Rhinolophus ferrumequinum: one gene and its partners. The protein of the gene in region 1 interacts with the protein of each later gene in a pairwise test. Links are inferred from orthologs where the notes say so. Each region holds a gene or a part of one and is shown in the gene's direction. Other genes may lie near its edges.

Evidence for each region.
Region 2: the proteins of GIT1 (region 1) and C14H8orf33 interact in a two-hybrid assay, tested with the Homo sapiens proteins (2 studies listed by BioGRID and IntAct). The link is inferred for Rhinolophus ferrumequinum from reciprocal best matches to the Homo sapiens genes GIT1 and C8orf33.
Region 3: the proteins of GIT1 (region 1) and PPFIA4 interact in a two-hybrid assay, tested with the Homo sapiens proteins (2 studies listed by BioGRID). The link is inferred for Rhinolophus ferrumequinum from reciprocal best matches to the Homo sapiens genes GIT1 and PPFIA4.
Region 4: the proteins of GIT1 (region 1) and HMOX2 interact in a two-hybrid assay, tested with the Homo sapiens proteins (2 studies listed by BioGRID and IntAct). The link is inferred for Rhinolophus ferrumequinum from reciprocal best matches to the Homo sapiens genes GIT1 and HMOX2.

Annotation. Positions count from the first base shown.
Region 1 is NC_046304.1:18,058,026-18,065,766, forward strand, and holds the start of GIT1 (ARF GTPase-activating protein GIT1), read left to right. Parts: upstream 1-4,733; 5' UTR 4,734-5,006; coding exon 5,007-5,058; intron 5,059-7,741. Other genes in the region: ANKRD13B (ankyrin repeat domain-containing protein 13B), read right to left, coding at 649-762. UniProt on the Homo sapiens protein: GTPase-activating protein for ADP ribosylation factor family members, including ARF1.
Region 2 is NC_046297.1:73,370,532-73,377,867, forward strand, and holds C14H8orf33 (UPF0488 protein C8orf33 homolog), read left to right. Parts: upstream 1-4,871; coding exon 4,872-4,877; intron 4,878-4,965; coding exon 4,966-5,011; intron 5,012-5,110; coding exon 5,111-5,292; intron 5,293-5,486; coding exon 5,487-5,571; intron 5,572-5,713; coding exon 5,714-5,860; intron 5,861-6,228; coding exon 6,229-6,368; 3' UTR 6,369-6,826; downstream 6,827-7,336. Other genes in the region: ZNF16 (zinc finger protein 16), read right to left, coding at 4,560-4,873.
Region 3 is NC_046310.1:121,608-128,797, reverse strand, and holds the start of PPFIA4 (liprin-alpha-4), read left to right. Parts: upstream 1-4,184; 5' UTR 4,185-4,324; intron 4,325-6,351; exon of another isoform or gene 6,352-6,510; intron 6,511-6,697; 5' UTR 6,698-6,775; intron 6,776-7,190. Other genes in the region: TMEM183A (transmembrane protein 183A), read left to right, coding at 1,111-1,296. UniProt on the Homo sapiens protein: May regulate the disassembly of focal adhesions. May localize receptor-like tyrosine phosphatases type 2A at specific sites on the plasma membrane, possibly regulating their interaction with the extracellular environment and their association with substrates.
Region 4 is NW_022680357.1:5,677,029-5,684,243, forward strand, and holds the start of HMOX2 (heme oxygenase 2), read left to right. Parts: upstream 1-4,201; 5' UTR 4,202-4,342; intron 4,343-7,215.

The DNA of each region.
Region 1 (7,741 bases):
AGAAGCCAGGCCCCAGCACCAGAGGGCAGGAGAGCGCCTTTCAGCACCTGGACAAGGCTCTGGGGCTTCCCCAAGAGGGTCTCTCTTTGTCCACTCCCCAGTCCTGAGCCGGCTCTGGGGTCTGAGGGATCCAGGGGCTCTGCCCAGTCTAAGCAAACAGATTAAGCACTCGCCTTGAGGGTTGAGGGCAATGGGTGGGGCTGAGATGCCTGGGGGTGTCACACAGCCTATTCTCTGATCCTGGACTTGTGACCCCCCCCACGCAGGCTTTGCCTACCTCCGCACACTCACGCGGGAGGTGTCGCTGCTCCAGAGTGGGGCGGACTCTCCCACCACATGGAACACAGACCTAGCCGGCAGTCCCTCCCCCGCAGCCCTCACGACCCGGCGGGGAAGGGGCACAGGATCCCCTACTCCAATCTGAGAGGATCCGGGACACGTGTGGGCCGCCGGTCCCCGCTGGAGAGGAGCCCGGCGAGGGCCGCTCCCATCACCCTCTCCCGGTCCACAAGCACAAAAGCCGCGGTTCGAACAAAGAAGCGCTGCAAACTCGCCGGGGAGGCGGGACAGCCCGCGCCGCGCCCTCTCCCCACGCTGGGCGGGCGTGCCCGGCCGTGGGGTCCCCGCGGCGCCGGACGGCGCTCTTACCTGGCCGGCGCGGACCTCTTTCTCCAGCTCGCGGTGGCGGTTGTGCCACACGAGGTAGTGCAGCGGGTACTTGCCCTCGGGCCCCTTCTTGACGGAGGCGTTAGCGGGTATCATCGCCCGCTCCTCATGCCGGGGCCACGGCGCCCGGCCCGGGAGGAGGCAAGGCGCCGAAGACGGGGCCCGGGGCCGCGGGGTGGGGGGCCGGCGCTGCCTGCTCGCAGGGTTGCGGCTCAGGCATGTGCGAGCGGCGCCGGCGGGCGGGGGCGGCGTGCCCGGCGCGGTGCGGGTGGCCGGCGTCCTCGCGAGGCGGCGGCGGCGACGGCGGGCGGCGTGGAGAGGCCCCCACCCGCCCCGGGAGGGAGCGGGCACTCGGCGACGCGGCTCCTACTCGCTCCTCGCCTCTCACACCCCCGCACACAAAGACGCGGCTCCACAGAGGGAGCAGGCTCCCGCAGCGGGCGCGGGGGCGCACGGGGTGCGGGCCCCGGGGACGCGGCCGCCGCCGCAGGGACGCGCGCCCGCAGCCCCCGGCTCCTCGCAGCCGCATAGCCCGGCCCTCAGCCCGAGCGGCCGGCCAGGGATGCGGGGGTGCAGGGGAGAGAGGAAGGGGACCCGGGTGCCCCGGGCAGAGCTTGTTATAGCTCGGCCCCGCGGCATCATGGGGCTTGTAGTCCACCTCGTAGAACTGGGGGTGGCGAGTGGCCGGAAAGGGTCCCGCACTGTCCCCCTCATCCCATGAAAGCGTGGGGAGGGAATCAGGCATGGCCGAAACGGAGGCAGCGTCCTAATGCCAGGTGGGCTGGGGCGCAACCCCACCGCTGGCATTTTGCCTTTTGCCTGTTCATGGAGTGGGAGGGGACTACAGGCCTCGCCTCAGCATTGGGGGGCGCGGAAAGGTGTGGCCTTCGAGATCGAGTTTGGGTCCCAGTGGATCGTGAGGGATCTAGATTCCCCCCAAAAAAGAGAATTATGTGGGACTCCTGAGAAAGGTGAGGGAGATTAGTACCAGGGGTTATTGGAGCAATCAGGGGTCTGGCACCTGAATAATTATATAGGAGTCTTCCGTGCCCTCTTATAAAATTAAACTCCATTTCCCACACTTGACATTGGAAAGAGAATGTCCACTAAGTCTGGGAGGACAGTGCCCCTGCTCCATACACTGTCCTCTGCATGGACCAGAGTGGGGTTGGGCAGAGAAAGCAGCAGGTGGCAGCTCCCCATCTCCACCTTGTGTGATCCCCTCAAGAGAGGAAGTGACTGATTCCAGAGACCGACTGCTTCCTGGATAACCCCAGGGTAGAGAGGTCCTTCCAGAAGGGTCCCTGAAGACTCTCTGGTAAAAGTGGATGTTATCTCTGCGGACGCCTATTGCAAGGGCCGCCCTATTGCGAGGGTGGGAAGGACCTAGAGGCTTGGCCCAATCCCTGGAGGGAGGAGGGGCTGAGATGTTAGAGAGACCTGCGTTCGAATTCTTTCTTACTAATTGCCTGACCTTAAGCAAACTGCTTCTATTTTCTGGTTTCTCAGACCACTCACCTCTAAAATGAGACTTCCTCCTGGGGTGAGTTAAGGATAGTAACTGCCCTGGAAACTGCGCATCCCTCCCCTAACCAGGCGGACTGACAGGTGTTGGGGACCAGGCATACAAACGTAGTGCCTTCTCGAGCCCATCTTAGAACAAGACAGGAATAAGGAATTCCACACCAGCCCTACTTAGAACAATCTAAGAAGTGTTTGTGTGGGAGGTGCTAGCAAAAGCTTGCAAACTCTCCGCGCCTTTCTCAGGTTCCTTTGTGTGGTCTTCTCTCCTTCCTCCTCCACACCCTGCAGTGCCAGGCCGGGGCGGGGAAGGATGAGGAAGGAGTGGACTGCCTCGCCCCTTTCCCCAGCCTGGGAGGAGCCAGCCGGCGTCTCTGGCAGCCGGGGACCGCTGCCCACCTCGACCACGAGGGGTCAGCAAAGTGTCGTGGCTGAAGCTGGAATTGGGGAGGGGGCTGGAGCTGGGGAGGGACGGCTAGGAGTGGCCGGTGGAATGCCTGTACATTTCCTTATTAAATTGTTTTTAGAACGTTGTGTGTGATTTCTCTTTAACTGTCCTGCTTCCTGAGGTGACGACATCTCCAAAGGGAAATCCTGAAACCCTTTTATCCCTAGCCCCAGGCCCAGAAGTTCGGCTGTGGCGGGGCGGGGGGTTTCCGGAACAAAGTTTGGAGAGTGGATCTGTGCCTGGGCCACTCCCAGGTAGTCCTGGGCCAACCAGATGGGTCCGGGACTATGTGGGACAGGGTGAATCATCCTTTTTCCCCTGAAGTTTTGGAGCTCAAGGAAGGAGGGAACTCAACCTGGATTGGGGGGCCTATCCCCTCCCCTGGGCAGCCGGCTCTCTTTTTGCCAGGCAGCCATACATACACTCTAAACCCAGGTCGCTTTTCCTCGGGCCTGCGCGCTCCAGCTGCCACGTGCTCTAGACGCGCCCACACAGCAGAGAAACAAAGACGGCCAAGCGATGGGGCTTCCAGCAGCCGCCTCGACATTTAATAAATGAACTTCCATAGCTGGGGGTCGATCGGGTAAACCGGCGTCCACCGCTGGTGGGCTGGGCGCCGGGTATGGGCGGCCAGGCCACTCCCCCCTTTGCCGAATCTGGGGCCACCAAGCCTATGGACTGACTCCTCCGTACGGGTGCAGCACTGGGAGGCAGGTGTTGCCCACCCCCACCCATACTCCGCGAGGTATCCTTGCTGGCAGAAGCCCTGCCAGCCAGCGGCTGGCTGTGGGGGGAGGGGAGGCATACAATATTTTTTTAAAGGTGTGATTATAAATATATCCCGTGGATCGCGATTTCAGACAAACTTGTCAATCTCGGCTGCAGCGAAAGGCGATGGAGGCAGCTTTGCATGTATTTTGGGTGATGTGACTCATGAGCATTACTTGTCTACCCCAGGGAAGCAGCCAGTACACCCACAAGTCACTGCTGCTCTGGCACCGCCGGGATGAAATCGACCAACTCCGGCACCCTTGCCCAAGGACTCCCCCCACCCCTCACCCCACTCCCACCCCGGTTACAGAGCAGGATTCCCTGCCGCTTGGGAACTCTCCCTTAATCGTGTCACCACTGATCTGGTCCCCAGGCCTGGCCCTGGGAACCCCTGCCCTCCCCCCTCCCCACAAGCAGAGTGCTCTGGCCTTTTGCTGCTGCAGGGATGGGGGCTGGGTGCACGCGGGGCACACGTGTATGGGGGAGCATGCTCAGTGCCGGGGTGCACCCACGTGCGGCATGCGCCTCTGCTCCCTGTCCCCCACCACCACCCCGCCGAGTCTCTGTGTGAAGTCCAGGAAGAAAGGCTGCTACAAGAAAAAGTCCCTGTATGTTACACACACATGCCATGGACACACACTCTGGTGGCCCAGAAACACTATACATGTATACAAGACGGATGACAAGTGGATATTACTGCACACAGGCACAGTGGTCACTCCTCCGGAGGTCTTTAAAAACCGCCCAGATTCTTTCCTCTCTGGATGGAAGCATTGAGAAAGGCCAGAGATACAGCGATACACTGCGTGACCTCTCTGGCACCTGGGCGACCATATTGTTGGCGGTGTGCATAGTCAGCAAGGGTGTGACCACACACACACCTGGACACGCAGATGTGGGCACATGCGAGACCAGGACGCACACCTTACCCCAACCAAAGATAAGCGGGTACCCCAAACCACAGCCCCTTGACGAGGAGGGGGGCCTGAAGTTCCAGCTCCTTCCTCTCTTCCCTGATTTCCAGGGGCCGCGGTCCCAGCGCCCGACCTCCCAGTCCACCCCCCATCTCGAAAGTGAAAGGGCTGTGAGGGAGACTCACACTACCTCCGGGGCAAAGGAGCGCCAGAGCTGGGGCCAGGGCCGCAGGCGACTCTGCCCGCTCCAACCCCGCGGCGGCCGCGGTCCCTTTAAGCGCTCCCGCCCCCTCCCGCCCGCGCTCCCGGCTTCCTTTCTCTGGGAGGCGCGGCCCGCAGGGCCGGTCGGCGGGGCGGGTGTGCGGCCTGCCCCTCCCCCGGTGGGCAGGGCCTGCGCCGTTTCCTGCAGGAGCGGCCGGGAGCCGCGCAAGGGGCGGAGAGAGCGAGAGGCGAGCGGCGGCGGGGCGGCGCGGGGCGGCGCGGGGCGGAGGGCGCCCGAGGGCGAGCGGGCAGGCGGGCACGGCGGGTTCCGGGCCAGCCCCGAGGGCTGTCGGTTGGCCGGGCGCGCGGAGCCTAGCCGGGGCCTTGCTGGAGCCGGGCCGGGCAACAGGGGCCGCCGCCGCCCGGGCCCGCCGCCCGCGCCCCCCACGCTGGCCCAGAGGGCTGCGGCCGCGTCGCCGCTGAGGATGTCCCGGAAGGGGCCGCGAGCGGAGGTGTGTGCCGACTGCAGCGCCCCGGGTAAGCAGGGCCTGGCCGGGGGCGGGACCGCGTACGGAGGCCGCCGCCCGGCGGGCGCCGGGGCCTGGCGGGAGCGCCGTGCGGGGCCGGAGGGCGGGGTGGGGCTGGGGGCTGCGGCCTCCCGCCTCCGGCCTCGGCCCCCTCCCGGGCCACTGCGGAGCCGCGTCCTTGGCAGGAGGGCCGGCCTGGGGGCCCCCTGTTCCCTTGCGTCCGCGGACAAGCGAGGAAGGACATTCCCGGCGCCGCCTCCCACCCCTCAGTCTGAGGGAGGCGGGCAGCTAGCTGCTCCCCCCCCATCTCGATATCCAAACGGAAGCGCCAGCCTGGGGTGGCAGGAGAGCTGTGGCGGAGGCCGGCAGGGTTTAGGAGGTGGGGGCGAGTGTGGTTTTGTGTCATCTCAGTGCCACCCCCGCGTCTTGCACCTGCTGCTCGCATGGTCTGCTGGCCCACTGGGGTGGCGGAGGGCAAGGGGCAGAGAGCTGGGCAGATGGGCGGGGGTGGGGGTGGGGGCTTGGATACTGTTTCCTAGCGAGCAGATGAGGGGGTGGCTACTCCTAGAACTCCCTGCCCCTGCCTCCCAAGGCTGGGGCTCCTTGCAGGGCCTGATGTTCAGGACCAGAATGAGCCTGGGCATCTTCCACCGAGGCATCCCCAGGTCACTGGGTGACTGGGAGCAACTAGACTTGGCTTTTCCTGTGCCCCAGGAAGGCCTGCTTGGGAAGGTGGCTTGGTATTGCCCCAGCTTGGGCACAGACCCATCCTGGTCCTCTAGCCCAGTCTGGCCAGAAATGGGTAGGAAGCAGTGCGGAAGGGTGCCTCCATCCCAGGATTCCGTTGGCTTCCTGGCCGTATTTACTGTGGTCTTTCCCTTCTCCCTCCCAGCAGAGTCAGGTCCAGGCTGATGTGAAACCCCCCTGACCTGCTGAGGAAGTGAGGAGCAGTGACCCGAGAGGCTGCTCCCTTCTGATGTGGGAGGACGCTGCCAGTGATGGGCCTCAGCAGCTGGCCTGGGGAAGGACGCCCTGGCCTTTGTCCATCCTCTCGTTAGAAAAGGAGCTGTCTGCCCGGGAGGCTTTTGGGCAGGCTCGGGGGGTCTGTGAACTCTCGGGGACTGTGGGCACACTAAGTGGGAGAGTGTGGGGTGCTATCTTATGGGCCCATAACTTCCAGCCACACTGTGGACAGGCCCAGGACCACAACAGGTTGAGATCCACAGATGCCCTGGTGGTTCTATGGCTCCAAGCTAGAGTAGGTAGGAACTGTGGGTACCTGGCAGAGGCAGAGTGCTCTGGGGGTGGTCGTGACCCCGGGACCTCCTCTCAGAGCGCGCCATGATCTAGAGAGCTCTGAGGAAGCTATCTGGGGGGTATGTGTCCTCACCCTTAATTAGCTGGAGACTATGATCCCCTTTGCCCCAAGCACAGGCAGGTCTGGGGATGGAGGGACTCAAAGGAAAGCTTGCCTTCTACATATGTGTCCCAGGCTATTCTACACCTCTGCTGGGTGGGTGTAGCATGGTGGGGTGGGCAACTGGGATGGGCAGGGGTACTCTGAGCAGACATCCTATCGGGAGCCTGGATTTTAGTGGTGCCTTTATTTCCTTCTTACTCTGTGACCCATGGCAAGACTTTCCTCACTCTTGGGCCTCAGTTTCCTCAACTGTGAAGCAAAGAAGTTGGAGTAGAAATGGTTTTTAAGGACCTTCCTAGCTCTAAATCTGTGGTCCTGATTCTGGGCTTGAGGGCCACAGGACAGCATCAACATGGCAATTGTCCTTTCTCCATGTCATTTGACTGGCTACAGCCCCTGGGCTCCGGGAGGAGTGGTGTGCATCTGATCTATTGGACTGCCCAGCTCTGTCCCAGTCCTTCCCACAGAGGCATTTGTGCCCTGCGTACCTCCTTTTCCCCTGATCCAGGATACAGGTCAGGAAGAGGCAGCTGGTGAGAAGGTGAGGATGGCGAGGTAGGCAGGGTGCTGACAAAGTCTTACTCATCGCCCCACTCCAGCACCTAGCATGGTGTCTGGTACAGAGCAGGCAGCTCCCAAGTGTTTGGATGCTTGTCAGGATCCCTGCTGGCTGCCTGGGGCTACCCCAACCCCCCCCCCCCCGCCCCCATATGATACGTGGAGTGAGTGGCGTTCTCAGTCTGGGAACTATAGCAGCCCCAGTAAAGAGCTGGAGGGGAACCGAGAATCTGGAGCCCAGACCCAGACCGCCTCCCGGGCGTGTGCCTCCCGCCCAGCATCCTAGGCTTCTCACTCCCTCTGGTAGGAACCCTGCAGCCCCAGCCCGAGGAATGGAGTTGTGGCTTTTTTGTAGTTGGTTCATTTGAGGGGTTATGGAGGTGAAAGGTGAGATGCAGCCTGACCCCAAAGGTCCCCATTCTCCCTCTGCTCCCAGGTCTGGGCACATGGGATAAGCGTATGTAGTGAGGGAGCTGGGCAGGGCTTGGCTGCTATGGCAGCTGGTGCCACCTCGGCAGGCACCATCTGTGTCCCTGCCTGCCTTGGGGGTTCAAGAGAAGGGGCAGGGGTCAGTAAACCTGGAGAATGTGTGGGGCCTCCTTCTTTGCCCTCCACTCACCCTGCCACACGGTCCTGGCCCAGCTCTCAAGGGCCCGCTCCTTACCCCTGGGCCGCCGTCTTAACCTTTCCACTTCGGCAGGCACAGGAGTGGAGA
Region 2 (7,336 bases), on another chromosome or scaffold:
ACGGCACCCTCCACAACTAAGATTGAAAGGACAACAACTTGACTTGGAAAAAAGTCCTGGAAGTGCACACTGTTCCCCAATAAAGTCCTGTTCCCCTTCCCCCAATAAAATCTTTAAAAAAAAAAAAAAGACCTAAATACACGTATTTGAATTGCACTTGTTTGAAATACTTGAGCAGAGGGCCAGCCTCTGGGTCTGGGAAAGGTGTGTCACCTTGGAGTTTTTTGCATGTAAGTGAGCAGGCAGCCTGCCTTCAGCCAGCAGCTCACTGGGAGCCAGTCCAATCTGTAAGAGTGGAATCTCCCAAAGGAAACTCATAAAGTGATGTTTTCTCCTCAGCATGAGAAAGTCACAGAGCAGTTACACTTCACTGTGGGCTCTGTGAGGCTGAGTGATAGCTGCCTGTGCACTAGAGCTCCCCACACTTCTCACACCTGTAGACTTGCTCTCCAAGGTTGATGGTAAAAATTTTCTCATGACTAATAACAGTTATTCTCTGACTGAAACGATAAGGTGGCTCTCCACTGTGAATTCTCTGATGTTGAATAAGGTAAGAACTCTGTCGGAAGGCTTTCCCACATGCAGTGCATTCATAGGGCTTCTCTCCAGTGTGAATCCTCTGGTACTGAATACACTGTGAATGCTGACTGAAGGCCTTCCCATAGTCACTGCACTCATAAGGTTTCTCACTGGTGTGAATTCTTTGATGGTGGATGAGGTGTGCACTCTGGCTGAAGGCTTTCCCACAGTCACTGCATCCATAGGGCTTCTCTCCATTGTGTTCTCTCATGCTTAATTTGGGTAGAGATCTGTCCAAAGGTTTCCCCACACTCACGACACTCATAGGGCTTTTCACCAGTGTTAGTCTTCTGATGTGAATTAGGTGTGAGCCCTGACTAAAGGCCTTCCCACATTTATGACACTCATTGGGCTTCTCTCCATTATGTACCCTCTGATGCTGGACAAGGGACGAGAGCACGCTGAAGGCTTATTCATACTCGTTACATTGATAGGGCTTCTCACCATTGTGTGTTTTTCGATGGAGAATAAGATTAAAACTATGGCTGAGAGCCTTTCCACACTCCTTACACTCATAGGGCTTCTCTCCAGTGTGATTTCGCTGATGCTGAATAAGATGTCCTTGTTGATGGAAGGTTTTTCCACTCATGACATCCATAAGGTTTTTCTCCAGTATGGATTCTCTGATGCTGAATAAGGGATAGACAAGCACTGAATGACTTTCCACAGTCACTGCAGACATAAGGTTTCTCTCCAGTGTGAATCCTCTTATGTTCAATAACTTGTGGGCGCCGATTAAAGGCTTTTCCACATTCATTACACCTATAGGGTTTCTCTCCACTGTGAATTCTCTGATGAACAGTAAGGCTTCAGTTCAGGCTAAATGATTTTCCACATTCATAACATTCGTAGGGTTTTCCCCATGTGTGTCATAGACCCCAAATGCATGGGCTTGATGAGATAGAAGTTTGTTTTCCTCATGTGGCAGGGTCCCTGTTTGGTGGGTTCTGTTTGACTTGCTTGTTCGGAGGCTGATTTTCTGTCCTGTTCTCTGCTGTCCTCTGGAGCAGTGTGTCTGACACTAGTCTCACGGACATGTCTGTCGTCAGACTCCGAGTGGAGGCTCTGGCCTGGCCACATGGTTCCACTCACATTGCACTGGTGAGAGTTCCATTATGTGGCCACACAGAAACCAACAAGCTGAGTTTAAAATTCATATGGAAATGCAAAGGACCTACAGTAGCCAAAATTACTCTAAGGGTATAGAATAAAGTTGGAGGGAGGCCTAATACTGCCTGATTTTAAGAGTTTTAATAAAGTCTCAGTAGTCAAAACAATGTGGAGTTAAAGACATTGTCCACAGTGTACCAATGGAACAGAACAGAGTCCAGAAATAAACCCACGCAGAGATGGACAACTGATTTTTGACAAAAGCACAAAGACAAGGCAAGTGGAGAAACGATAGTCTTTTTAAGAAATTGTGTTGGAACAACCAGACATCCACCTGTAAAAAAATTAAACTTGAATCCATGCTTTACATTAGATACAAAAGTCAACTCATTACGAATTGCAGACTTAAACATATCACCTAAAACTTTTAAATTATAAAATTTTCTTCTAGAAGAAGAAAATCTTCTGAGTTAGGCAAAGGTTTCCTAGATAGGACACCAAAAGCACAATCCATAAAAGAACAAACTGATAAACTGGCCTTGATCGAATATTAAAACGTCGGGGCAGTCGACTTGCTCAGTTGGTTAGAGCGTGGTGCTCTTAACAACAAGGTTGCTGGTTTGATTCCCACATGGGCCACTGTGAGCTGCACCCTCCACAACTTGACTGAAACAACTACTTGACTTGGAGCTGACGGGTCCTTGAAATACACACTTAAATAAATAAAACTGTTTGGAAAAAAATTAAAACGTCTTCTCTTCAAAAGACACTGTTGAGAGAATAAAAAGACAAAGCACAGAGTGGGAGAAAATCTACACAAACATGTACCTGACAAAAGACCTGTATCTAGAACATTCCTGTATTCAGAAAGGAACTCCTTAAAACTCAGTCAGAAAACAAAAACCCAGCTAAAGAATCAGCAGAGATCTGCACAGACTCTTCACCAATGAAGAGAAAGAAGGAAAATCAGCACATGAAAAGAATTTTAACATCTCCTTGTTTGGGAAATTCAAATCAAAACCACAACAGATGCGACTGCCCCTCTACCAGAGCAGCTAAAATGAAAAGGACTGACCACCCCAAGTGTTTGTGAGGACGTGGAACGTGAAATGGCAAAAGCACTGTGGCAAACAATCAGGCCTTGCTCTAAAAAGGTGAATATGCACCTACCATATAATCCAGCCATTCCACTCCTAGTTATTTATCCAAGAAAAAAGGAAACGTATGGTTATCCAAAGATTTGTACACAGATGTTCACAGCAGCTTTATTTGTGTCAATTAAAAACTGATAGCTATCCAGATGTCAATCAAAGAATGGATAAACAAATAGTGGTATATTCATTCATACAACAGAATACTAATCAGAATTAAAAAAAAAAAAAAAGAATTATCGACACCCAACGCGGATGAATCTGAAAATAATTGTGTCGAATCAAAAAAAGCCAGACAAAAAAGAATCCACACGCTGTAATTCCGGTGAGATGAAACTACAAGATGTAATCTACAGTGATAGAAAGCAGGTCAGTACTTGCTTCAGGACAGAAGAGGGAAGGGGTGAGAGGGAGGGATTATAAAGAGGCAGGAGATTAACCTTTGTAGAAAACACAGCTGGCAGTTCTCTGAGGTTTGTCATTAGAATGTGAGAAGAGCCACACAGCTTTTGCACAAGACTGTTCAAAGAAGTGTGGTTTACTTTGAGAGCTATTGCACCACTTCCGTGTGGCAAACAAATGAGATCTCAACAATTCTTTTTTGTATTTTTTATTTTTATGATGAGTCTTCTTATCAATGTACAGAGACCAGCTAATTTGACAATGAAAAGAAAAATGCATAGACTCAGCTATATGCTTCTCCATTCATGAGTGCTCTTCCCGAGATCTTCTCTAGCTAACTTCACCCGGTCTACAAGATGAAGAAGAGGAGTGAATAAATGATACCCACCCACACACGATAGTGTGCTTGCTTAGAAGTTCCTGTGTGAAATGGAATCATTTGAAAGCACCTGGGATGTCTTATGAGTTTCACAGGATTCTCTTCTTGTTTTCTTTTTAGAGCGATAATAACATAAATTTAAAAGCAATTACAGTTTGAGGCACAGTTATGTGCCTGTATAAGAAAAATCTCTCATCTCTTCTGCATATTATAATTCTTATGTGGGTTAAAAAGAAAAATACTTTTGTAATGTCTTAGAACTCTCTAATAGTAAAAAGTGCAAGAATTTCAAAAAAAAAAAAAAAGAGACACGAGAAAACTTATGGGTAACCGTTTCTATCTTGATTGCAGTGGACAATGTCTCATGAGCATGCACGTGTGAGAATGCGACCGAACTGTACACTTTCGATGTGTACAGAACATTCTCGCTAACCATACCTTAATAGAGTGTTTCTAAAAAGGAAGAAAAGGGCATGGGGAGTCCGGCCAGTTTGCCAGGGACCATCCCAGGTCAGTCCTGGCCAGCAGTGACGCTGGGCCAACACCCAAAGCTCTCTGTGCGCCTGTGTCCCGAGCACCGACTCTGCAGAGACAGTGGGAGGCTGCGTTAGTTCACTGCGCCCGCCACCTCGCTCGGAATAAAAGCACCCAGGGCCCTGCCCCCACCTCCTTCTCGCCGGGGACCAGCCCCACCAGGCCTGCCATCTGTTGCCTCGGGAAGTCCTTTTTTAAAAGTGCCAGGCCGTCTTACTGTGATTTTGGTAAGGATTATATATAGGCTTAGCTTGAGGAAAATCAGTGGTTTTACAATATGAAATCTTCCAATACAGTAATGCAGACTGTCTCTCCCTTTATTCAAACCTCCCTTTAGATTCCATGGTATTTATCATTAAGCTTATCACTCTGGTAGTGCTTGCCCCGGAGGGATGCCGACTCACCGCCTGTGTTCACAGCGCTGCGCGGGGCTGCGTGACAACTTTTCACGTGTCTTCACCTGCCTGTCTCGCTCCACTGGGAGGTGAGCTTTGGGAGCCCGCGCCCTCGTTTCGGGCGCTGCCCTTTCCTCCAGGGCGCGGCCTGCCACGTGGTACACCTGCTCGGGGGTCTCCTTTGCGCCCTCCCGCGTCCCGTCCCGCCCCGCAGCCGCTCGGCCCCGCCCACCGCGCCGGCGGAACGCTGCGACGCGGACGCGCTTCTGGAGGAGCGAACTAGGCCTGGGACCCGCATGAGTTCCGGTGCGGCCGCGGGGCATGGCGGTGAGCGGAGCAGAGTGGGGGCGCGGGTGGCTGGGCCTCCGGGCCTGGGCTGTACCCCGTGACCTTCTTGTTGCCTCCCTCTCTCCAGGCCCTAGGACACCCTGCTTGGGAGACAGCGGCGGCACCAGGTCCAGGTACCGCCCGCGCGCCGCGCAGCCCCCGGGCCTCCCGGCCGCCGTCCGGCGCCCCGAGTCCTTCCACTCTAAGGTCTCATCCGGTCCGTCTCTGCTCAGGGCACCCCACGTGCAGTGACGCCGCCTCCAGGGCGCATCCCGTAGTCGGTGAAGGCGGCGCAGCTTCTAAGAAGCCGAAGAAGAAGAAGAAAACCCGGAACGGGGCCTCCGTGTCGAATGGAGACGGAAAGGCCTCAGAAAAGCATGCCCCGGAGGAAGCTCCTCTAAGCGCAGAGGCCCAGGCAAGGGCAGTGCTCAGTCGGGAAGGGTGGGGTCCCCGGGTGCATTCTAGGTGCGAGTCCTCCAAGCGGTTGTGGTCTCGGATTTGCGGAGTTACGGCAGAGGGATGGGATGGGGGTTTTTGGGTCCCTTGCGATGAGGGTGGAGGCCGCAGTGTCCTAGTACCCTCTCAGCCACTGTCCCCAACCCATCACAGGCGGAGCAGCTGGCTCGAGAACTGGCCTGGTGCGTGGAGCAGTTGGAACTGGGCCTCAAGACGCAGAGACCCAGCCCAAAACAGAGTGAGGAACCCTTCTGTAGAGTTGGGGGAAGGTGAACGGTGACAGTGCTGTGTCCTGCCAGTGCCGCCAAGGGTTGGAATAGGTGGTTTTGCGTTGGAAATGAGGATAGAGGAGGTCCCTAGTCCTTTGTTTTTGTCGGCAGGGGAGCAAGCTATTGGGGCAATCCGAGCCCTGCGCAGCGAAAGAACACCCCTGCCCCGGAAGAGGCAGCTGATGCGCTCCTTGTTTGGGGACTACAGGACTAAGATGGAAGCCGAGTGGCGCGAGGTCCTGCGGGCTCTCAGGACTGGTGAGGAGCTGGGAACTGGTTAATTCAGGGCTGCGTAGTTCAAGGGGGTAGGGAGGAAGAGGTGAGGCAGTTAAAGGAAGACTCCCAGAGCTACAGGGCCGGTGAGGGAAGGAGACCGGCTCAGGAAAGCCTGGGGGAGCAGGGAGAGAAAGCCTGCACCTCAGGAGCACAGAACTCGGGCCTGTGCCAAGGAGGGAGGGATAGGAGAGTTAGTGAATTTCTCTGTGATGTTAAGTGAGGTGTGATAATACCTGCCTTATAATTTTGAGAAGTAGGTCAGTGAATTTATACAAAGAGGTTACCGTCGTAGGGGCATAGTTAACATGAGCTGTTATCACTCAGTTCTGACACGCTCCCCTCCCCCACAGCAGCACACTCAGCCCAGGTGCAGCCTGTAGGTGAGGCCACCAGAAAGAAGAGCCGGAGGGTTTGCAGGCCTCGCCTAGCAGGGGGAGCCAAAGCAACCCTGGACACTCCTGATGAAGAGTTTAAGTTCAATTTCTTTTAGCCTCTCTCTCCATCCTGGTACAGTCCCCTTCCCCAGGTGGTGTGGGGCTTTGTCCCCCGTGCGGAGCATTTCCAGGAATGCTCCGTTGGACGGATGTGGGATTGGCCTCTCCCCGGCTGGTCGGTGAATGTGGTTCCATGGATGGTGGGCAGATGTGAGACCAGTGTATTAAGTAGTGTCATACAAGCACAAGACCCTATTAGTAGGATTTCAGGTGAATGGTTCCTCCCGCCCGAGAGGAAGGTCCATCTAGAGAGATTTCTACAGCAAACTGAAGTGAGTGGCAGTGTGTGGTGGAAAGAACGTCTTACTTAGTTTTCAGGGTTAGATTAAGTGGCTGAGGGTGAGGGGAAGCTGCATAATTGCACTTTGGTGCTCACTTATGAAAGGCCGTCCTGTCAAATGGGGTAGTGCTTTATTCCTTTGTGTCATATTGCCCTAATAAAACTGTTTTGTTGTAAAAATTGATGAATGAGCGTGTGTGCTAATTGCCTGTGTTAGACCAAGTACAGATGATGCAGGTGTCTGGCACTGCTGGGCCCAGGCGCTCAGCCCAGCTGTGGTGCTTGGTCTGTGTTGCCTTCATTCCTGGGCAAGTATCCTCAGGGAGCCAGTGTGGCCCCCCAGCCGGCCAGGCTTTGTTCTTAGAAGCAGAGAGCTGCTAGCCCTAAGGATCCTGGCGAGAAGCCTGGATGGAGCCTCAGTGAACGACCTCTGAATATTGGCTGCTCCACGTGGCCGTACAGGGCTTGTGCTTTATTGAATCGGCTTTCCCAGGTGGCTTAAGCCTCCTGTGGCTTGCAGGCCATATTTGCTGGCATATCCCAGACCAGACAGATAGCTGGAGCCCAGCTGTGCACTGTACAGCTCTACTTTGACGTTTCATAGGCATCGTTGAGAACACGGGATGAGCCCCAAATCCCCCTTCGTTGTCTGCTTTTCAGGGGCCGGTACTACTGCCCAGCCGG
Region 3 (7,190 bases), on another chromosome or scaffold:
AGTTATTTACGCCTGAGAGTATTTCACCTGCTTTCTTCTCTACAGTAAAGAGAACGCTTTTGCACCTCCTGCGTAGTGAGCATCATGTTTGAGAGACACGACCCTGGGATAATGGTGGGCTGTTCGTGAGCTCTGTGTGTCGGGGCCCCCATGTGTGCGTGTGGTATCACAGAGGCAATGTTAAACCAGGGTGGCCCGCTGTGTCCTGGGGCTCTGACCCTTCCAGGCTCAGCTAAGAATTAGGTTAGTAAACAAGAAATATGCCTTTGGCTTCTCTTTTAGGTTTTTAACATTTCTAACTACGTTGGCAACTGGAGAGTCCATGTGATTTATCTTTGTACTTTAGGCTCGTTTCAGAGGTACATGGGGCTCCCCTCCACATTGAAAATGGCGTTACTCTTTTTTTAATGGTAAAGTAGATAATACATACTTCATGTAAAAAATTTAGATAATGCATAAATACATTGAGACAAGGCGACTTAGATTTGCAGTAACCTAAAACTGAGATTAACCCTTCAGGAACTATTCTTTGTGTCCCTTTGTGCGCCGTGGACGTGTGCGCACCCACTCCCTTAGGTGATCCTATATAATTGAGATCCCGTCATACACGGTCCTTTTATCAGCACCCCCTGCTCCTCCCCACCACCGCCCCAGGCCAGGCCATGCTAGTGGCTTGGTCCTACACTGCCCGTACCCTGTGTGCTGTGCGTTCACACAGCTCTGTACTGACCACATGTACACAGAGACTTGGTGTATTTTCCAAAACGTGGGACCAGGTATATGTTTCCTGCATGTTGCCTGACTCGCTCCATAGTGTCTCATCAGAATCCCTTCATGTCAGCCCTTTCAGCTCTAACCCAATTTTTTAAAATGAGCTTTGGGGCTAGTCTGTGCAGGTACGCTAACTTACTCAGCCACCTGGGAGGTGCTCTTTAGCATAGTTCAACTGAAGAAGCTAAGGAGAACTTGTACAATCACCCTTATTTTTTATACTTTTGCAAAGGTGTCAGGGCCTAGCCGTGTATATTCTGTCCCAACTGTGTCACTTCAGAGTGAGCCGGTAGGAAAACAGATTGTTTGATCTGGGTTCCGGATTTGCTTTCCCCCCAGTTCACCATCAGCGTGAGCACGGACATGCGGCACCATCGCGTGGGACTGCTGTTCCAGGACGTCCCTGTCCATGGCGGTCGGAAGCTGCGCAGTGAGCAGGGCGTGCAAGTGATCCTGGACCCCGTGCACAGCGTGCGGCTCTTTGACTGGTGGCACCCGCAGTACCCCTTCTCCCTGAGAGCCTAGCTCTGCCTCCGTCCTGAGGGGTCAGTCCAGCGTGGGAGGGGCGGCCGCACTGGAGGTCTGCTTAGGGACGCACATGCTCTCGGCTTCCTGGGGCTCCTGTTAGGGGAAGGAGGAGGTGGAATCACGAGGAAAAGCAACTATGATTTCTGAACATATTTTAATGTAAAAATTTCATTTGAAGAAACCTGGCTCTATTTTCTGCGTTAAACCCCCTTTGGTGCTATTGAGTTTGTGGTCTTTATTCTTTTATCCCAGTGAAAATGGATGACTTTGCTCTAGGGGAAAATTAAACTCTGGAATCTCCAAACCAGGAAGCTTCAGCGGCGCCTTTGGCTCAGAGGAACCTGAGAGGCCTGGATTGTTGCTACTGTTACTTCAGTTTAGCTGCCCCTCAAATTCACGTGAATATTTCCCCCTTACCCTTCTCCAGAAATAAAGCAGGTGACAGGGTTTTCACAGTCTTACAAGATTGGCTTGTGTATCTTTCTTCAAAAACAATTTTTGGAAGTTTATCGCGTAAAAATTCTTTTGCCAGTTTTGGATTTTAGGTGTTTTTATGAGAGCAGTGATGATAGTGACTTTCTGTGCTTGGTACAGTCCAAGGAACTTGAGACGATAGCTCTGATGTTCACAACCCTGCAAGGTGGGTACCACTGTCCTCATCTTGAATCAGTGACTTACCCAAGGTCTACCGGCCAGTGAGCGACAGCTAGGACTCTGGCCCGGGTCTCTGCTGTGCCACAGTTAGAAAGGTCAGTCTCATTTTTCTTGTGGTAGGTGGTGACGGGGGGTGGGCAGAGTGCATGTAGATAAAAAGTAAAAGGTGAGTAAAAACCTGATTGTGGTATGCCTTATCCCTAATGAGCCGGAAAGGTGCATAAGATTGATGAGAATCTTTTAAATATGTTTCTAAGTAAGGTGTAAAACGAACCAAGAACATACTGCAGAAAAGATAGTGGTATTTTTACTGAATTGTAAGAAAGACATTTGTTACACTGAAGGTCATTAAAAAAGGCACCCCATGTTGAAACCAGCCTCGTGAGCTCTATGCACTTTGCCACTTGCCCCGCCCTGCACAGCCCATCATCCCGTGTCGTCCCTGCAGAAACACTATTGTCCTGTTGGTCAGAGGACTTGCTGTAGCTGGTCCACTCAGAAGAGCCTCATGGGTGTGTTGTGTTGCTTTGTCTGGTTTTTGCTGCTTTCTCCCACCGCAACTTAGCCAGTGAGCTGGATTTTGCCAGGATATTGCCATGAGGTGGGCATTAAGGCGATATTCTTTAAACATGAACATCTTGTGGGGGCAGTTGTTACCATACTGCTAAATTGGTGTGTTGTTTCCTTGCCATCCTCCCTACGCCCTGCTATTTAAGGAGTAGTCTCAGGGAACATCTGCTTAACACTTTTGTTAACAGCTAACCTTACCTCATGCTGAGGGTGGGAGCCTGGGTCAGTGACATACAGAATCTGGGCATTTAAATGGTCAAACAAGACCCAAGGACAGTAAGCACCTTGCAAATATCTGCAATCAGAAGTTGCCTCTGAGGCAGGAGGAAACCCTAGTTCCCTGAACTAAAGGTTTCTTGGAGCAGAGTGGGCATGGCCCCAATTTAGGAGTTCCCTTCAAAGGGGGAGTGAAATAGGTTTGGCTTAATAATTGTGTTCTGACTCACCTGAGTTTTTGTGTCAAACTCCATGGTACGATGAAAGACATAATATTAGGTACGGCCTCAGCTGCTGTCTTAGCATAAGGTTGACGGATATTTGGTCAGGTGTGTTACCAGTAACCTTCATGGCCTCAGCCTCCCCTCTTCATTAGCTGAGTCACCTCTTCTAGGATGATTCATGGTTTATTAGTGAAAGCACAGGAAGTGTCTCAGGGATTTCCTTTTGATGAGACCCCCCCCACCTCACCCCACACCACCTGGAGAAGAGTTGGAACTTGCTGGACTACTTTTGTAAAATCTGTTTTGTAATTTTTACTTCCTTAAATCTATACTTTGATTTTACTCCGAGGGTCAGACAAAATAACATAAATTTAGCTTCATTTCTTACCCCCCAAGTAAATCAAAATTACTCAAATTGTCCTTTCTTCTACCAAACATACAAGGAAACTAAGCCAAATGGTGAATATATTGAAGGAAAGAAAATAAATGAAAGGTTGTTTGTGCCACTGATTTCAACTACAGCATTTGTTGCTGGTTAGGCGTGTGTGTGCCTATGGATGTACACACACAGCACGTGTATGAAATCCCTCCGCTTCTAGAGTGTGCGTGGGTTCCCTGAAGGCCTGATTGGGCACGGTGATGAAACTTCCCAAACCAGACGGCAAAGATGCGTATATAGCCACGGCACAGGGGAAGGAGCAAGTCAGGGAAATGGGGAAACTGAGCTAAAATGTGCCAGGAATTTTGGTGTGGACAGTGTCTTCACAGAATGTGTGTATAACAGACCGACATGTCGTTTTACAGTGTCAGCACAGCGACACAATTCATTTAAGCGCACGCTATGGAAATGTATATGGATTTCAAGTTTCTCCACTTAAAAATGGGTGTGACCAAAGGAAAATCAAGAAATGGGCGTGAGGGAGCAGGTGTGAAAGGTGACAAATCGCTGGCAACAAGGCCAGTACGGAGACCAATTTATGGACCTGGGTGATTCAAAGGGATGGCCCTGTATGCTGCGCCACCTGGAGGGAAGCTCCAGGCCGAGCGCGCAGCCTCACAGCCCTCTCAGGTCACGTGGGCTGGGCGGGGCGCGGCCTGGAGGGAGGTGGCAGGCCCCGCCTCTGGGGGTGGGCCAGAGCGCGGAGGGGGCGAGGCTCTGTGCTAGGCGGCTGCGGCGGCCTCTGGTCACGTGAGGGACGGGGCGTACCCCGGGCGGGGGCGTGGCCTCGAGTGAGGAGGCGGGGTTCGTGCCCCCGAGGCTGCAGCTGCTGGGTGTCGGGCGTGTGGGGCGTCAGGTCAAGGCGGCTCCTTGGCTGCTGCGGCCTCCGAGGAGCTGCCCTGTCTTGGAGAACTGCAGGCAGGTGAGCGTGCAGAGCCCAGGATGGAGAAGGATGGCTCTCTTCCCAGCTCCAGCTTCTGCACAGTTCGGGGAGGGGTCTCTGGCGCGCCTTGGGCAGCAGCCCCTTTTCCCTCCACAGGCATAGATGCTGCCTCTGTGCCGCTTCTCTCCGGACTTTGCAGTCCTGTGCCCTTGGGGTGAGCGTAGAGGCGATGTCCGATTTGCGGGGGGCGGGGTGGGGGGCGTGGAGTTCGCGCTCATCCATCAGCCTCAGAGGGGGGCCTGAGCGGCAGGTTTCCTGGAGGAAACCAGAGACGGACTGCACCTCCACCCCCCTAGGAGAGTCAGAGAAGAAGAGCCCCTGGGCTCCGGGGGCAGCTCCGCCGGGAGGCGCAAGCGGTGCTGAGGACTTCGCGTTCCCCCGGGGTGGGGGGGGGGTCTTCGTCTTTCCCGCGTCGCTCACAGCACCCCTTAATGTCGCCAGCTCTCCATCCTCCGGCTGCGAGACGCAGGCTGTGCCAGAGGCGCCCGTCTCCGCAGTCTGCTGAGGTGGGGGCGAGGGGGGTCGCAACTGGAAAAGGGGGAGAAAGAGAGATCCCTGAACTGGTAGGGTGAGAGTGGGGAGCCGAGTTCCCACCACGTAGTATGTTTTCCAGTGTGGATCCTGCAGCTTCTGACGGCCGGTGGGAAGAGAGGTTGGTTTGGAGGACTTGGAAATGCGATGTGGGTGCTTTTCTTGGAGAAGGAGGAGGAGGGGGGAGGACAAGGTGCCACTAGGTGCTGACGTCATGCTGGAGGTGTCCGTCTGAGGGGCAGGGGAGTTGGGCTGCTGCTTTGCTGTTCGGGTGAGCAAGTGGTTACCAAGGAGGGTGTGCTTGGCGTGCGGGTCCCCTCCTGCTGGGGGCGTAAGGCCGCCCTCCAGGAGCCAGCTTTCAGGGATCCCCTGTCTTTCCAGAGGTGTTCCACGCAGCAAACATTTACTGGGCACCTGCTATATGCCAGACGCGTGTTAGGTACTGGGTCTTCTGAAGGCAATTTAGAGCTGTGGGGCAGTTGAGAGGTACACACAGTCACACAGTAGGCGCTCTGTTAACACCCCTCCCCCCATTTTGTTACATTGCTGTTGGATTACAAAAAGATGGAACGGTCTGAACTGAATTCCAGCCTACCCACCCCCTACAACTATTAACAACCCAGGTCATCCCAAAGGAACAGTTGGGATTATTTCCGTTGGCTCTTTTCTAGGACTTTGTCCTGAGTCCTAGGACGCTGCCTGGGATAAAGGGGGTCTCAACATAATGAGATGGTGACTAGCACAGTGGTTACTGGGGGCCAAGAAGGCACTAGACACCTGGCACAGCAGGGACCCCATCTCTGGAAGGCAGAAGAGTGTGGGGGCTCAGTGTGGAAGGGCAATCTCACTCGGTGAGCATGTCGTGGTGTCAGCCTGGGCGTGTGTGTGGCCTTGCAGCTGGGTACCGAGGAAGGATTGGAGGGGCAGGGTGGGCAGGCAGCCAGGCTCCTGGGTGTCGTCCCTGAGTTGATTGCTGAAATCTTAGAGTTGGAAAGAGTTGTCAGGGATTGCTGTGGTCCTTTTGGAGCCGTGGAGGATAATGGGGTGAGAGCTCAGGGAGAGGATGAGGAGGCAGGCTGAAGACTCAGCTCAGGGCCAGGGAGCTGGGGACCAGAGGGCTTTAGGGTACGGGCGGGGGGCTAGCTGAGGCTTCTTATGCCCGGGACACTCCCCCGGGGCTTTGGGCCATTGGATGGGTTGCTATAGAAACATGGTGTGGTATGGAGTTGTGTGTAGTGTGTGCTGGAGAGAACGAGTTGATGTGGAGTCGGGAGGACCAAGGCGGTGACAGCAGCCTCCGAGTCCAGGTCCCAGGTGGAGGATTGGGAGGGAGGGGGGACGGGAGTGTACTGCAGCCACAGGAAGTCACCGTCTGTGCCCCCCCTGGCCTGCTGTCTCACTGACCTATAATTAGCTCTGAAAGGCATACGGTGCTGGCTCACAGGAACGCAGCCCTCTGGGTGACCATCAGAGTGGAAGTACTTGGAGGGGCCATGCTGCCAGGCTGCACGGAGAGGTCTCTGGGAACTGAGACTGTCGTGGGGGAGGAGCTGTGAGCTGGGGGTCTAGCTGCAGGGCCCAGCAGAGCCTGAGCCTGGCCTGGCCTGGCCCCCCCAGTGTCTTCTGCCCCCCAGGTGAGGTCAGTTCCAGCCCGGAGCAGGGTCCGACAGGTCTTGGCCGGGGCTGCTTCATTCTGAGAGCTGAGGAGAAAATCCTAGTGGTGCTCAGGCCGCCCCAGGCTGGGCCAGATGCTGGGTATGTGGTCAGTGCTGTTCTCTGTGTGGCTCTCCAGCCATCACTGTGTGTCTGTGTTCTCTCCAGGAGGCCGCGCTTCTCGAGGGCCGAGCCTGTATCCATAACCATTCCTAGGTCAGTACTGGATTCACGGGAGCCTCCTCGGTAAGTAACTGTTGGATGGAATTGAAGAGTTCTGGCTTCTGATCCCCTGGGTTCAACGAAGCAGGGCCTCTTTGTAGCCAAAAATAATTAACCTGGAGCAGAGGAGCCTCTGGGGACCCAGGGCAGGGGTGCAGCATGTCAGGGGGATTAGATCCTACAGGCAGTAGGGAAAGTGAGAACCCCTAAATCTCCATGAAGCGTGGTATATGGGCTTAGGTTTATAACTGAACAAAATGTTAAGTCCAGATGTAGTTAGTAGACCTTATATATCAGTTACATAAACACATAACGTATTCCATGATTTTGAAGAGTGCTTAGTGCAGTATAATTTTGTAGTCAGGTGTCAGATGAAATAGCTGGTTTGCTTTACAGGCCTTTATTCTTTTTTTGCCAATCAGCAGAGTTGAGTTCTTAT
Region 4 (7,215 bases), on another chromosome or scaffold:
GGTGCCAGTGCCAGGGGGCTGTGTGAAGTAGGTGGGCAGATTGGCAGCCTGGGCAAAAGTCTTGTCTTTTGAAACCTTACCCACTCTGTGGTCCCCTGAGACCTGAATGGAGAGATTTAGCTACTGACTGGTTCCTTTCTGTGGGACTTCTGTATCTGACAAAGGACCTCCTACAAAGCACTTGCCAGTTCACCCAGCCCAGTGACATGTACTAATGATAACAGTGGGAACCCTTTTCGGGGTTCCTCCTATGTGTCAGAGCACAGGTTAAGCCCCACATTATCTCATGTGAAACCTCAAAGCAACCCCTCCTTCAATCAGTTTAATTCAAGTGTGTGTGTGTGTGTGTGTGTGTGTGTGTGTGTGTGTGTGTGTGTGTGTTTGGGGCAGGGAGCAGTACAGTGTGTACTTCCCATTAGTCCTTTCTTAAAATTCATTAGTTTTCATTTGATTTTGAGAGCCAAGTAATGTATAATGCATTTATGCATTCTTATAAAAAATTTAAATGGTACTATAAATGAAAATTCCACAAGCCTCTTTCTAAGGGATAAAAAGAGAGTTTTATTCTGATACGATTTGCAAATCAGAGAATGTAGACTTCAGCATGAACTGAAGACACAGTCTAGGGTGGGAAGAATAAGGCAAGGGATTTAAAGGTGAGAGTTGTGAGGAGTTGCTGATCAAAGGGATGGGGTGCTGGGGAAACAAAACCATAAACTTACATCATTCATTTTTTGATTGGTGTGGGAAACTGGATTTTCAGAGGTCTGCTGAAGCACACGGGAAGACAAAAACCATGGGTAGTTTCGATTGACTCAAGGCCAGCAGGTACAGTTACGGATATGACCAACAGTTGGAGTCATAAGACACGGTCATCAGGGGAGGGGTGGGTCACAAAGCAGCGGCCAATGCCTTAGTTTCCTTTGGAGTCTGCAAAATAAAATATTAAAACAAGTTTTGTAGTGAAATGGACAATGCAAAGAATGCAGTTCATCAGGTAGACAGAGTCAGAGTTTAAACTGCAAAATGGCCTAGTCAGTCGAGCAGGGTCAGAGATCAAGTTGCAGAAGTGTCCAGATATTTGGCTACAAAATTATGATATTAGAATCCTTAGTACAGATAAAGCACAAGTAACCCTGGACCTCCTATCATTCTCGTGTGTAAACCTTCCCTGCTTTGGGATGCATTTGCATACCTAAACATGAACATGAAGAAAGATAACATTTTGTAGTTATAAAAATGAAAGGAGTCATACTGAATATTTTTCCCCAAATTTTATGATGAAAATTTGTAAACCTACAGAAGTGTTGAAACAACTGTGTAGTGAACACCCATATACTTACCACCTGGATTCTTCAATTCTTAACATTTTGCTATTCTTGCTTTATCAGATATCCATTTATCCCATCAACTGTCTTATTTTATTTATTTATTTATTTATTTTTTAAACTTACGAACTGTTTATTTCTGGAATTTTCCACTTAATATTTTCAGACCACAGTTGTTGACCACAGGTAACTGAAACTGCGGAAAGCAAAACCACAGATAAGCGGGGGGCGGGGGGGCAAAAGGGGAGAGGGATTTCTGTATTCAAGGACATGCCTTTAGTAATTCTTCCTTCTCTCTTCTCCAACATTAATCTTCCCCTCTCTACTGGATCCAGCGATTCTGGATCATTCCAATCATCATACAAGCAGGCCAGGATTTCTCTCCATTAAAAAAAAAACAAAACTCTCTCTTGACCTCACTTCCCTTCCAGCTCTTGTTCCATTCCTTTGCTCCTTTATAGCAAAACTCGTGAGCTAGTCACACTGTTTGCAATTCCTTTCCTCAATTTCTTCTTGAATCCATTCCAATCAGGCTTTCTGTCCCATCGCTCCACTCTGAACTGGTTTTCTCAAGCTCACCTGTGACTTCCACATTTTCAAATATAATAGTCACCTCTCACGCCTCATGTTATTTGACACATCAGTAACATTTGGCTCAGCAGATGACTCCTGAGACCCTTTCTTTACTTGGCTTCCAGAACAACACATTCACCTCTCCCTCTTTTCTTATTTTATTGACCACCTTTTCTCATGTCCTTTATTGGCTAACTGTCTTATTTTTTTAATGCACTTCAAGTAAATTGCAGATATCAGTACCCTTCACCCCTAAAAACTTGAGCACACATATTATTTAGGGTTCAATATATTTTTTTTAAATTTAGAAATTATATACCGGGGGTGCCAAAAAAAATGTATACACATGACTTGTATTCTTCTTTTGTTATTGGTATATATTGAGCATTACAGTTTTAATACAGTTATTTCCTTCTTAAAATGTGTATACATTTTTTTGGCACCCTCTGTTTTTTGGTATTTTCCTACAATTTGCTTTCCGTCTTTTACATAATGTCCTCCTACAAGTGGTGTCTACCCTTCCTTTTTAATGGGACACAACTCTATTGAATGGATGTGCCCTTGTCAATCCCTATTCCATCCTCTTTGGGTGGACATTTATGTTATTTCAAGGTTTTCACCAAAATGGAGTATCCTGGTACGTGTTGCAGTGACATTCCTTGCTTGTGCCTCTTTGGGTTCTTGCGAGTGTTTTTCTAGCATAGCTACCCAGAAGTGGAAGTGTTGGATCAAAGAGGATGCCCATTGTAAATTTTAACAGATCTTGCCAAATTGTCCCTCCTTCCAAGCCATGTGAATAAAAAGGGCTTCCTTGGCAAGCCTGACAAGCTCAATAACTGAAAGTAATTACACAAGATGTTTTGATCATAAAAAAAATACCTAACTGCTATATCAAACTAAAAAATTTTTGCACAGCAAAGGAAACCATCAACAAAACAAAAAGACAACCTACTGATTGGGAGAAGGTATTCGCCAATGATACATCCTATAAAGGGTTAATATCAGAAATTTATAAAGAATTCATACAACTTAACACCAAAAAAACACACACACAAACAATCCAATTAAAAAATGGGCAGAGGAACTGAACAGATATTTCATCCCAAGAGGACACACAGATGGCCAATGGACATATGCAAAGATGCACAACATCACTCATATCAGAGAAATGCAAATTAAAACCACAATGAGCTAGCACCTCACACCTGTCAGAAGGGCTATCATCATTAGATCAACAAACAAGCATTGGCAAGGATGTGCAGAAAAAAGAACCCTCATGCATGGGGTAGGATTCCAAATTGGTGAAGCCACTATGGACAACAGTATGGAGATTCCTCAAAAAATTAAAAATAGAGCTACCTTATGACACTGCAATTCCACTTCTGAGTATTTATCCGAAGAAATCCAAAACACTAATTTAAAAAGATATATCCACCCCTATGTTCATTGGTGGGTTGGCAGAGAAGCAGACGGCGGATTACAGATCATGTGGATCCCACTTCCTGTGTCTCCAACCCAGCCGCCAGCAAGAATATAGTGGTATGATCCCCCTATCCATAGCTCCCTTGGTGTTCCTTTTTGGCCTCACCATATCCTGCGTTCTTATGTGGGGAACGGGAGCCGAGACACCGCATGACACCCTGCATGACAGTACCTCTGTAAACTATGGATGTTAAACGTTCATTATCCTGCACCCACCAATGTAAAAGAAACATGTATCTCCATTTTACCTTTTATCCAGTCCCATAAATTTTCCCGCTTTACTTTCTCCCATCTCCTTAATCTGCCACCAATGGATTTCACGTAGTAACCTTTCTTAGGTTTTCTCCTTTGAGTCTAACGTACAAAATAAACTGCAAAACTGCTATTCCTCAGAGCATTATCTCAACCCTTTGCGAGTTTGCTTCAGGGACTAGCTCCAAAACTTTGCCTCTAATAAACTCTTTAAACCTTTCTTTAGGTTTGGAATTTCTTTTGTGGACACCCAATAACTCCCAGAAACACCACAGATTTCCCACAGTTTTGCCAACACAGGCATTACCAGTCATTTAATCTGTAGCCAGTCCGATGGTTAAGGAAATGACGAGAAGCCAGTATGGCTGGAACAGAAAGGGCAGGTGGAGCCCTGCAGGAGATGAACCTGAAGAGGTGGTGACATTGGGCAAGAAAGGCGCGTAGCCCAGAGGCGTCCTCAGAAACATCCGCTCTTATCATTGCCAACATTCGGATGCACCCCGACGTAACTCGCAGACTTCGGCCTCTGGAGAGGAGCCACGTGCCCGCTGCAGAGGCGTGTCCTCCGCAGGCCCCGCCTCCGCTGCGTGGGCACGTCGGACCGCCCTCGCGCCCTCCTGCTCGCCTAGCTGCAGCGGTGGCGCCTGAGAGTCACAGCTTGACGGGCGGACGCAGTACGGACGGCCGGCCGAACTGACCCGCGGCTGGTGAGTGGCCCCCGCCATCCCGGGGCTTCCCTCAGGCTCCTCGGCGGGCCTTGAGCGGCCTGGGCCTTCCGGAGCTAGCTTTCGCCGGCCGCAGCCCGCTGCGCCCCCGGCGCCGGCCTCTGGGAGACCCGGCGGGCCCGGGCGGGGGGCGGCGGAAGTGGGGTGAGCGGGGAGGGGGTTGGGCGTGGGGGAACCCCGCTTCGTAGACGAAATTTTCCAGGGCGGGGGAGACCCTTCAGGCCCATTGGCGTTGGGCCCCGTTGGGTACCCCCCTCCCGGCGTCGTGACTGCGCTGGGTGAGGTGACCCCGAGGTCGCAGCCGGTGACCTGGCGTTCTCGGCGGACGTTGTAGCTTCTGACGGCTCAGCTGACACGTCTGTCCATCTTGGGCCTGCGAGAACTCGGGCTGCCCAGCGCCGGAGATGGGTACCCGGCGTGGCGGCTTGTGCTGGGCCGTGGCTCTGCCTTTCCTCCTCCTGACTCACCTTAGTCAGAGGGGCCCTTTTAGTCACTCTGATGACTTCATGAGTGACCCGCGGCCACCATGGTGCAGGTCGGATTGGGAGGGATCAACGCCAGGGGCAGCCGGTCAGTCTGGGCGGGGAGTTTACCTGTCACCTCATCAGCACAGTGGTCTGGGTCTGTTAATGTCCCGGTAGGAGCTGCCATGACCGCCTTGCACAGTCTTTGCACGAGGCTTGTCTGCCATGCCATTTAAATTGGTTCTGATGAACGTGTTGTGGCCTGTGGCCGTCATCGTTATTGTGTTGTTTACGGCTCTATGAACCAGACGAGGGGAGCATGATTTAAAAAAAAAAAATCGTATAGTCCTCTACCGTTCAGGAAGCCCTCTCGCTCTCAGCCCCTTTCAAAACCCTGTGATAGTTTTCCCGTTTGTCAGTGGGGTTAGTGATGAGACGGGGGTTAAGTGAAATGATCTGCACCCCACAACCAGGAAGGTGGCACAGTTGGTCTTGAACTTGGTCGTCTCTGACCAGATGGGATGCTCTTTCCTAAACAGAGTTGTAGAATTTGGAGATGGATTATGTGATTTAAACTGTCTTTCCCACCCCTCTAAACTGTAGAAAGAAACAAGAGCTTACTGATTTTGTGTACGTATATGAGATTCTGGTATGGCTTTTACCAGTGTGTTTTGATTAAAATTTTAACTCCCATATTTTAGTTTTTCTTCTGGGAGGAGGGGGATTACACATTAGTAAATCTGTGCTTTATTCATTAGTTTTTTTTTCAAGAAACATCGCAAGACAAAACGTCACAAGCTTACCAGGAGCTCACAGCTTAATTGGGCATTTACAAGCTTACTTGGTGAAATTGGAAAAAGTTTTCAAACACAGTGCCTAAGCCAGAACACTGGTGAGAAGTGGGAATTTGAGGGGCCTTGGAAACACACACTGTTTAAGTGACCTCATCGAACTGGGGATGTGAAGAAGAAAACCTGTGATTCCCTCATTGTCTGACTTGATTTGATTGTTCCCTTATTCTCACTGTTCAATGACGTGATGTTAAGGAGAGTTCTTTTTTTCAAATTGTATGCTTGAGTATCTCACCCTGTGTAAAGCCTACAGATACACTGACTTTTTGTGCTTCAAAATGGTTGAATTGCTAAGTACAAAATTAAGCTAATCGATCAATTTGTAACCATTTTTTCACTCACAAACGGTTATTCCACACTAGACAATTTTGTTTCACATGTATGTGTATGTATCCAAATACATATATATTCATTTACATTAGAGTGAAAAACAAATAGTTTGCTTCTTCCAAAAAAGGAAGTTGTGGTGGTATATTTTTGACCATAGGAAAAACATTGAAACCCTTTGAGTTGTAGTTTCTGCATCTGAAAAATTAGGTTAGCACTAGATGAGACTTAAAGTCTTTGGTGCCTTGAGTGCTGCTTATTGATATGAGACAGGTTCCCAAACATTTCTGTTTCGCTAAGTTTGGGATTGGGCCTAGAAATCTGTGTTTTTACAGTTTCCCATGTGATTCTTGTTTGGAGCACTGTTGTCTAATGTACAGGCTGTACAGGGAGAGAATGGACTGGCAAGAGGGTAGAGGAGTATGATACATGAGGAAAGGGAGAGCAGAAGGGAAAGAAAGGGGTGATTGTTACATGGCAATAACTGCTGTCAGCTTAAACGCCAGAGGCCAACAAAGAAGATACTCTCTTCTCTCTGTTTAGGGGAAAAAATTAATTTTTTCACACGAATAGATTTGTTTCCTTCCCAGGAGTATCAGAGGCCTAATTATTGTTATAGTTCTCAGTAACTTTATCAGGGCTTTGGAGAAGAATGGAGTAACAGAGACAGGTGTCTTGCACTCCACCTGCCTATTTCTAAATACTCCCAGCTTCCTGCCTTTCTCCTGATGAGTTATCTCAGTCTCAGAAAACTCAAGTTTCACTGTGTTGTATTCAATCTCAAAATCGCTTGAAGGCTGTGGAAGGCACTAACATGAGTAAACAATCTGCCATCATGCTTTTTTCTAAGCCAGTTGGCTGGCCTGCCTCATCAGTCACTGTGATGATAATATTTTTTATGCCAAGCACTCGTACCCATAGTTTGAGCAGACAGGTAACACTGAAGGACTTGATTGCTGGGACAGGATATTTGAATCAGAACTGTCCTGGAAAATCTGGAACACAAGGCTGTATCTTCAGCACTGTTGTCTATGTTGCACAAAATTATATTTCTACTGTGGTACATACACCTATTGTGTTGTTTCTCTCTCTCTCTCTCTCTCTCTCTCTCTCTCTCGATTGAAAGCTACTTGAAGCTACATGGTCTTATGCCTTACTGTAGTCACAGAGCCCATAAACAATATAAATATTTGTTGATGAGAATATGGCATGT